2 linked regions of the Canis lupus familiaris genome follow. The protein of the gene in region 1 purifies or fractionates together with the protein of each later gene. This does not show direct contact. Links are inferred from orthologs where the notes say so. Each region holds a gene or a part of one and is shown on either strand. Other genes may lie near its edges.

What was found.
Region 2: the proteins of MTMR2 (region 1) and MTMR12 purify together in Homo sapiens (affinity purification with mass spectrometry; 5 studies listed by BioGRID and IntAct, with this or other methods). This does not show direct contact. The link is inferred for Canis lupus familiaris from reciprocal best matches to the Homo sapiens genes MTMR2 and MTMR12.

Annotation. Positions count from the first base shown.
Region 1 is NC_049242.1:5,388,438-5,392,091, reverse strand, and holds part of MTMR2 (myotubularin-related protein 2), read right to left. Parts: intron 1,504-3,654; coding exon 1,390-1,503; intron 1-1,389. UniProt on the Homo sapiens protein: Lipid phosphatase that specifically dephosphorylates the D-3 position of phosphatidylinositol 3-phosphate and phosphatidylinositol 3,5-bisphosphate, generating phosphatidylinositol and phosphatidylinositol 5-phosphate.
Region 2 is NC_049225.1:76,094,636-76,098,289, reverse strand, and holds part of MTMR12 (myotubularin-related protein 12), read right to left. Parts: intron 1,507-3,654; coding exon 1,364-1,506; intron 53-1,363; coding exon 1-52. UniProt on the Homo sapiens protein: Acts as an adapter for the myotubularin-related phosphatases. Regulates phosphatase MTM1 protein stability and possibly its intracellular location. By stabilizing MTM1 protein levels, required for skeletal muscle maintenance but not for myogenesis.

The DNA of each region.
Region 1 (3,654 bases):
GTACTTTTAGTTATCTAACATTCAGTAAGTTCTTAAATGCCTCCTATGCATAGGAATACTGACTGCATGCTAGCCACTGGAGATACAGTATATTAACATTTTTAAGGGACGCTTGGGTGGCTTGGAGACGCCTGAAGAGTCTGCCTTCAGCTCAGGTCAAGATCTCAGGGTCCTGGGATCAGCCCCATGTCAGGCTCTCTGCTCAGTGGGGAGTCTGCTTCTCCCTCTGCCCCTCCCCACCTCTCCTGTGCTTAACTAGATACAATCTTTTAAAATAAAATGTTTTAATACCTGCCTTCAAGGAACTTACAGTCTACTACATGGCAGTTACCTTAGTGTTTTATTTAACCACACAATAGTAAGTACTATTTTTCCTAATTTACCGAAGCAGGAATGAACTTGCCTAAGGTTACACAAGAAGAGATAGATCCAAGATTTCAACCAGGGCAGCCTGGCTCCACTCCCTCCCATAATGCTTTAACAGAATAGCAAGAATAAAGTAGTTGATAATCACATTTTCAGAATGAAAACTGATGCAGAGGGAGACACCAAATCAAGATGACTTGGAATTTCATACATATAGGATAGAGATACTTTGAGGTCAGAAGTAAAACTTGAAATGTAATCCTTAGAAGTTTCTTTTAAATAATACCAACCACTTACCAATGATCTCACTGGTGAAGCAAGGAAATGGTAACTTTCTACATAGTGTCTTGTTAATGTTTGGATGTTTTACCGTATTATTTTACAAATTAAAAAAAAAAATTAAGGGGATCCCTGGGTGGCGCAGCGGTTTGGCGCCTGCCTTTGGCCCAGGGCGCGATCCTGGAGACCCGGGATCGAATCCCACGTCGGGCTCCCGGTGCATGGAGCCTGCTTCTCCCTCTGCCTGTGTCTCTGCCTCTCTCTCTCTCTCTGTGTGACTATCATAAATAAATTTAAAAAAAAATTTAAAAAAAAAATTAAAATGGCTCCTATGTATGCAGAACGTATTTGGGGATCTGAACTGTCCATTCATACGTGTATGTTTTGCTAACTACATTTTTCTGCATGTGCTTTGAAGGATTTCCATCCTGCAAGGCCTGACGAATAACACTGGTGCTCTTAAGATTACAAATACCTCAGTTCTCTTGAGCAGACACTACTTTTCACCCACAAACTCACCTGACATTTAGCTGCCACCTTCAGCCTCGCAACAGAGCTACTTGAAAACAAATCAGGCTCAGGTGTGTGGAAAGAAGTAATCATACTACAGTATGTGGCAATAAAATTTGACCAAAGAAATTATCCAAAAGAACCAATCAGTTGAAATCTATCTAAGAATGCACCCTCGTGGGAACATGACACATGTGGGGAGTAGAAGGGGGAGGGTCACAGCACATATTTTACCTCTTTTCCTCTCTGATGTTCACTGTTACACAGAAATGTTCCAAATAAGCAGCTGTAGAGATGGTCCAAAATGGTAATGAGAAAATATTCATTGAATTCAAATGCTGTAGGAAACTGCAAATTGAATACCACAAACACACAAAATTATTAGGACACTTTTCCAAGCATGTTCATCCCCATATATGGGTAGGTCCTTCATTATACTTCTTAAAACTGGGTTAAACAATATTCAAAACTATTTCTAAGCCATAATGGCATCATCCACTTCATTCTGTGCTCGAAAGTCACTCTATCACTCTTCTGAGATTTCTCCCCAAATATCCTTTTCTTGTGCAACAAGAGTTGGAATGGTGTGACCTTGGTATTTCTGTATTTCCTGTATCTGTTAGTCCCAAACTTGAAGAGTGATAAATTTTGAAGTTGGAAATTCTGGAACTCTGAGCTTTTCTTTGCCAAAGATGACCATAAACAATATAAGAAGATTTTCTTTAAATTTTCAGCAACATAGTTTTGTTTTTAGGAATTACACAAAAAATATCAATGCCGCCAGAAAATGTCAGCAACATACAAAAATAAAGATCCAAGGAGATGTGCAGATCATTTAAAAGCCAAGCAGTCAAACCAGAGTATCCTATAATCCAGTACTTTGGCAGCCTCCTTGTAACAAACAAACAAACAAACAAACAAACAAAAAATCATTTTCTCTTTAACCTAGGACAAGAGCTTGACTAGATATCTTAATATTACATAAACAATCAATGTGGGGGACTTATCAAGGAAGGATGACAGGTCCCAGGAAGGGAAAGGGTTAGTATATGCATCTAATACTTAAAAATTATTTGAAAGTCTCCATGAAAATTGTACTGATTCTAAGACTGTAAAAATGAACTGTGAATATTTAGATTGCAGATTTGGGGAATAAATATTGGTTCCAAGTTTTTCTTAGAATGATCCCTACACCCAGTAGTACAAGAAAACAGCCTGAGCCATGAAAATGGGATAGGAATGAAAGCACCTCTGCCTTGACGTTTTCAAAAATTATAAGCAAGGTATTTCTCGAACAATGAAGGGTTACTAGCCTGCCTTGAATCGAAACTTTTGTGGTTTCTAAGCTGAAGCAGGTGATCCAGCACATGCCAACAGAAAGCCAATTACCTGTAAGATATTTGGTCAAATACCATTCATTCATTTACAAAATAAATCCTGTTTCCCGTACTGTTACACTCTTAATAACCGCATTAGCCAGCTGTGAATGTACTCTTAACTCATTAAACAGCCATCCCAAGTTGCTAAGCTTGTGATTAGTTTTTCGTCTTTTTGGCAAAACCACGTGCTCAGTCATTAGAAGAGAAGAGAGATTTGACAGTGGACATGTCCTCCACAAAATGATAGTAGCACAGCAGGAACTGCTCTGAGCAGAAGAGGAACATTTTCTCCTCACGTGTTTAAAATCAGAAGGGCGGGCAGCCCCGGTGGCACAGCAGTTTAGTGCCACCTTCAGCCCGGGTTGTGATCCTGGAGACCCAGGATCGAGTCCCGCGTCGGGCTCTCTGCATGGAGCCTGCTTCTCCCTCTGCCTGTGTCTCTGCCTCTCTCTATCTCTCTCTGAATAAATAAATAAATAATCTTTTTAAAATAATAGATAGATAGATAGATAGATAGATAGATAGATAGATAGATAGATAGATAAAATCGGAAGGGCCCTACATCAACTGCTTCCTGACCCAGGAGTGAGGGGATAGGGATGGGGATGGGGATGGGGATGGGGATGGGGCTGAGGATAGGGGACTAGTGAGGGGATGGGGATGGGGCTAGGGTAGGGGACTAGTAGAATCTGGCTAATCACAACATAATTGGTGTCATTTTGACAAATGTGCTACTTAAGTCTGCACAAAAGTTCAATTATTTATAAAAATGATGATTGTCAATAAACATAAGGAAGAAAGATATTTATCATGTACTCTTCTATGCAAACAACTGGCACATGTTGGAAATGAACTAATACATTCACACATGTTGCCCCTTGAAACCATTCCTGTCAGAGAACAGGATAGTCAGTCATCAGTGGTGTCAATTTCAAACAGCTTCTCTAGCCTTTTTATACAGCATTTTTTATTTTTGCCAAGAGTCAAACATTTAAAAATCAAATACAGGAATGGTCAATAGTGGGTCTTCTTGTTTTTGGTCAAACCCCCAAAACTGGATTGGCAAGGATTTGTAGAGCTGCTATACTACCTCAAAAGCAATTCCAAAGGAAAAATTCAA
Region 2 (3,654 bases), on another chromosome or scaffold:
AGTGGAGTGTGATGTCATTTTCTCCTATAACCTTATTCTTAAATTGGGCCTCCTAAAAGATTCAAAAGGAAACAACTGTGACTCCTTTCTATGCCCTATTAAACATTTATAGGCAGAACAAATCGCCATTTTCCAATTGCACATTAAGAAAAACAGAGATGGGGAGAAAGAAATGGGTGAAGGTGGTCAAAAGGTATAAACTGATGAACAAATCATGGGATGTAACATACAGCCTGGTGATTATAGTTAACAATACTGTATTATATACTTGAAAGTTGCTAAGAAAGATCTCATCATAAGGAAAACAAATTGGTAACTATATGACATAACAGATGTTAACTAAACTTATTCCAGTATTCATTATGCAATATATACACATGTATCAAATCATTATGTTATACTCCTTAAAATAATACATTATATGTTAATGATATCTTAAAAAAACTGGGGAAAAAATTGAGTGTACACTCTAAAAAACAAACAGGGAAATGGAGCCACATTCTCTAGGAAAGGGAAGATGAAGTGTGCAAGGAAAGCTGGTAAGCACTTTTTTCCAAACCCAGGCATGACTTGCCATTCCTGGGCTGGTCCCAGGTGAACCAGCCATGCCACACACAATCATTTTGAGAGGTTAAGATTTCTCTACATAAATGCAAACTAGTGAATGACAGCTACATGAAGCCAGGCTTAGGAAGAAAACACTGAAAGATTCAAGTTTCTGTGAATGCTGTCCTTATGTGTACAGGACACGGAGCCAAGCCATGAGAGCGGATCCACGCCAGAGAAGGCCACGCTCCAAGGCAGCAAGGATGGGCCGGGACAGCTGGGTTTGCATCAACATACAGCGCTCCCTGAGTGGTGCAGGCAGTCTTCTCCCTCGTCCCGCTGCCCATTCTCCGCAAGTCGAGATAAGTCTTACAAGGACACCGCTACTCAGGGCAAAGTAAACCCAAATTCAAGTGCTGCATTCAGCATAAGTTTCACAACTGAACTCAGTTCCTGAATTTGAGGGGCAGGAAACACAGGGAACTTGTATATTTGGGGAGATGTGATTCCAGTGAATGCTACCTACTGTGATGAAATACAGAAAAAAAAAAACAAGAAGTTGACAGTGTCAACCTCTGAAGGCAGATGCAAGCCAGCGTGACTTGAGGCACTGGAGGGAAATTTTAGAGTGGTCCTACCCCTGAAGAGAGATCCCAAGGGATAGAGAACAATATAACAGTGAGGACTTCTGTCCTTTGTGTTTAATGTGTGTTGGGGGTGGGGAGGGAGTTAGAGTAATTGCAGAGCTGAGGAAAAAGATGATGGAGACACAACTGCACTGCTCCCCCCAACTCAGCCAAATACAGCTCGCACACACATCATTATCCAACGCAGATTCATCATCGCCCAAGAAGGCAATCTTGAAGTCTGTGCACACAAGTTTCCCATAGATCCCACGCTGACAGGAATCCTCCTGGACATACTTCAGCACTGTACTGGCTTCACAAAGCAGCTGTTCACCTGATGGAAACCAAAACAAGTCCTCATTAGAGTCCTCAGGGAATACACAGTATGCAAACACTAAAGGCTTCCCCAGCTCTATGCACGGTAAAGACAAACACATGATATATGGCAGCCCTTCAGAACTCCACACTTGGCAGCACAGCAGGAGCTGCAAATGCCAGGAACGAAGATGAAGCAGAGTAGAGACCACTGATAAGTAAAACCAAAATGGCTCAGCTACACCTCCACATAGCGCACTTCCCTATCTTCTCACTGTGAATAAGGAACATTTCCAATACGTGGAAATGATCTCAGCGATGCTTGCAAGTGCAGACCTCAGTGTTCCTGTCACTTGGGCCCAAGCAGGCGTTCCACAGAAGTGATCCCCTAAATGAATGAAATGAGCAAGGCTCTAGAATATGGAGCTCCAGCCTGAGTTGTGGTGAGAGTGGACCATCATCTCTCACTCTGGAACTGCTAAGAGAAAGCAGGGTGGTTCCCCAGCCACAGGGCTCATAGGCAGCTTCCTCACATAAGAGGTGCAGCAAGACCACATGCACTCTGGCTCCACAGACAAGGATGGGAGGAAAAGGGAGGTCAGAGGTTTGTCGGAAAAAAATGGTTTCCTCTCTTTCTTAGTTGGAGGCTATTTCCTCTCAGTGTGTCACCTTTCCTGCTCCATCTGAGGTGCCCAGCCTACACGAGCAGCTCTATTTCCTGGAGTTAGAGGGGACTTCTTCTCTTTACAGTAGAGATGAGGATTTCAGGATAAGTAAGCATTCACTGCTCCCTGGAAGCAGAGAAGTTCATGAGGGCTGGACATTTGGATGAGAGCAGGAGATGGGTAGGGAAGAAATAAAAAATCAAGTGCAAATGTTTTGTAACAAAAAAGAAAAAGAATTTTCTTCTCTTTCAACAGACAACTATCTCCCCTCAGAATCCCTCTGGATATTATCTTCAATGTCTTTCAATTTATTTTTGGACTCAAAATTCACTTGGTCTAACTTTTAAAATGAAAATAAAGAAGAGTGTCAGACACTGAGACTATGAAGGGATGCCTCTCATGGTATATGTTTCCATCTCCCAAGGAGTTAATTACTCAGGAAATATGGGAGGTGGCTCAGTCACCAGGGCAGCTTCCAGAGGGACCACAGAGCTTGAAGAAAACAATGAATTGGGGCCTCATTAGGGTTTAAAATAGTTCCAGAAAAAGTGCCTCAACTAGTTCAAGATAGAAGATATGTGAACAAGACTTCCCGTGCTTTCAACTCCTAATGTGAAACAGCTTTTAATAGTGAGTATCTCCCTAAGCCCAAGCAAGCCATGTCAGTCCGTGGCCATGCACTGGCAACTAGAGACACCGGAACGCATTGGCTAATACAACATCCCGTGAGGCTCTGCAAGCTCGACGTGCTGCACCATAGCTATCAGCTCACATGTGCAGAGTCTTGAATCATGGAAGGCAGAAGCTGGAAAAGATCATGCTCTAGTCTGGGAAATGGAGGCTGCACAACTAGAAGAGTCCTCAGGTAATACAGAGAATGGGAGAAGGTAACACTAAAATGAAAGTTAGTTTCAGGATCTATGACCCAAGAAAAGGAAGGACAATGTGGTATATGAATTAAGGTTTAAGTCATTATTGTAAAACAAGCAAACAAACAAAACAAAAAACAAAAAACAAAAAACCCTCTGAAACTTAGAAATATTTTTTTTTAATTCCAGGATCCCAATATATTTACCAAAGGTGGATCAGTCAGTAACTTGTACATATTCATATTCTCTCAACAAACTGGAATAAGATAAAAAAAAGTACCAAAATGAGACCTTTATTGGTTTAGGGAAATATACCTTAAAAAACTGACAAAAAAAGCTACTTGGATTAGAAAAAAGAAAATGGAAGAAGAACTGAATGCACAGCCCCAGGAGAGCCCGCACGCATTTAAGGGGATACAACCATCAAGTAGTTTCCGTTTCTGAATTCACAAATGATTAAAGCTTAACCTCAGGTACAGAGTCTCTCTTCCATCTCAAAAATAACTAACCAATTCAGACTCTTAGTGATGATGTCAGAATAAAGCCCCTGCAGGCTCAGGGTTAGTAAACCCCAAGGCTGCCTGGCACTTACACGCTCAGATATGTAAGCAGAGACCACAGGTGAGGCCACCC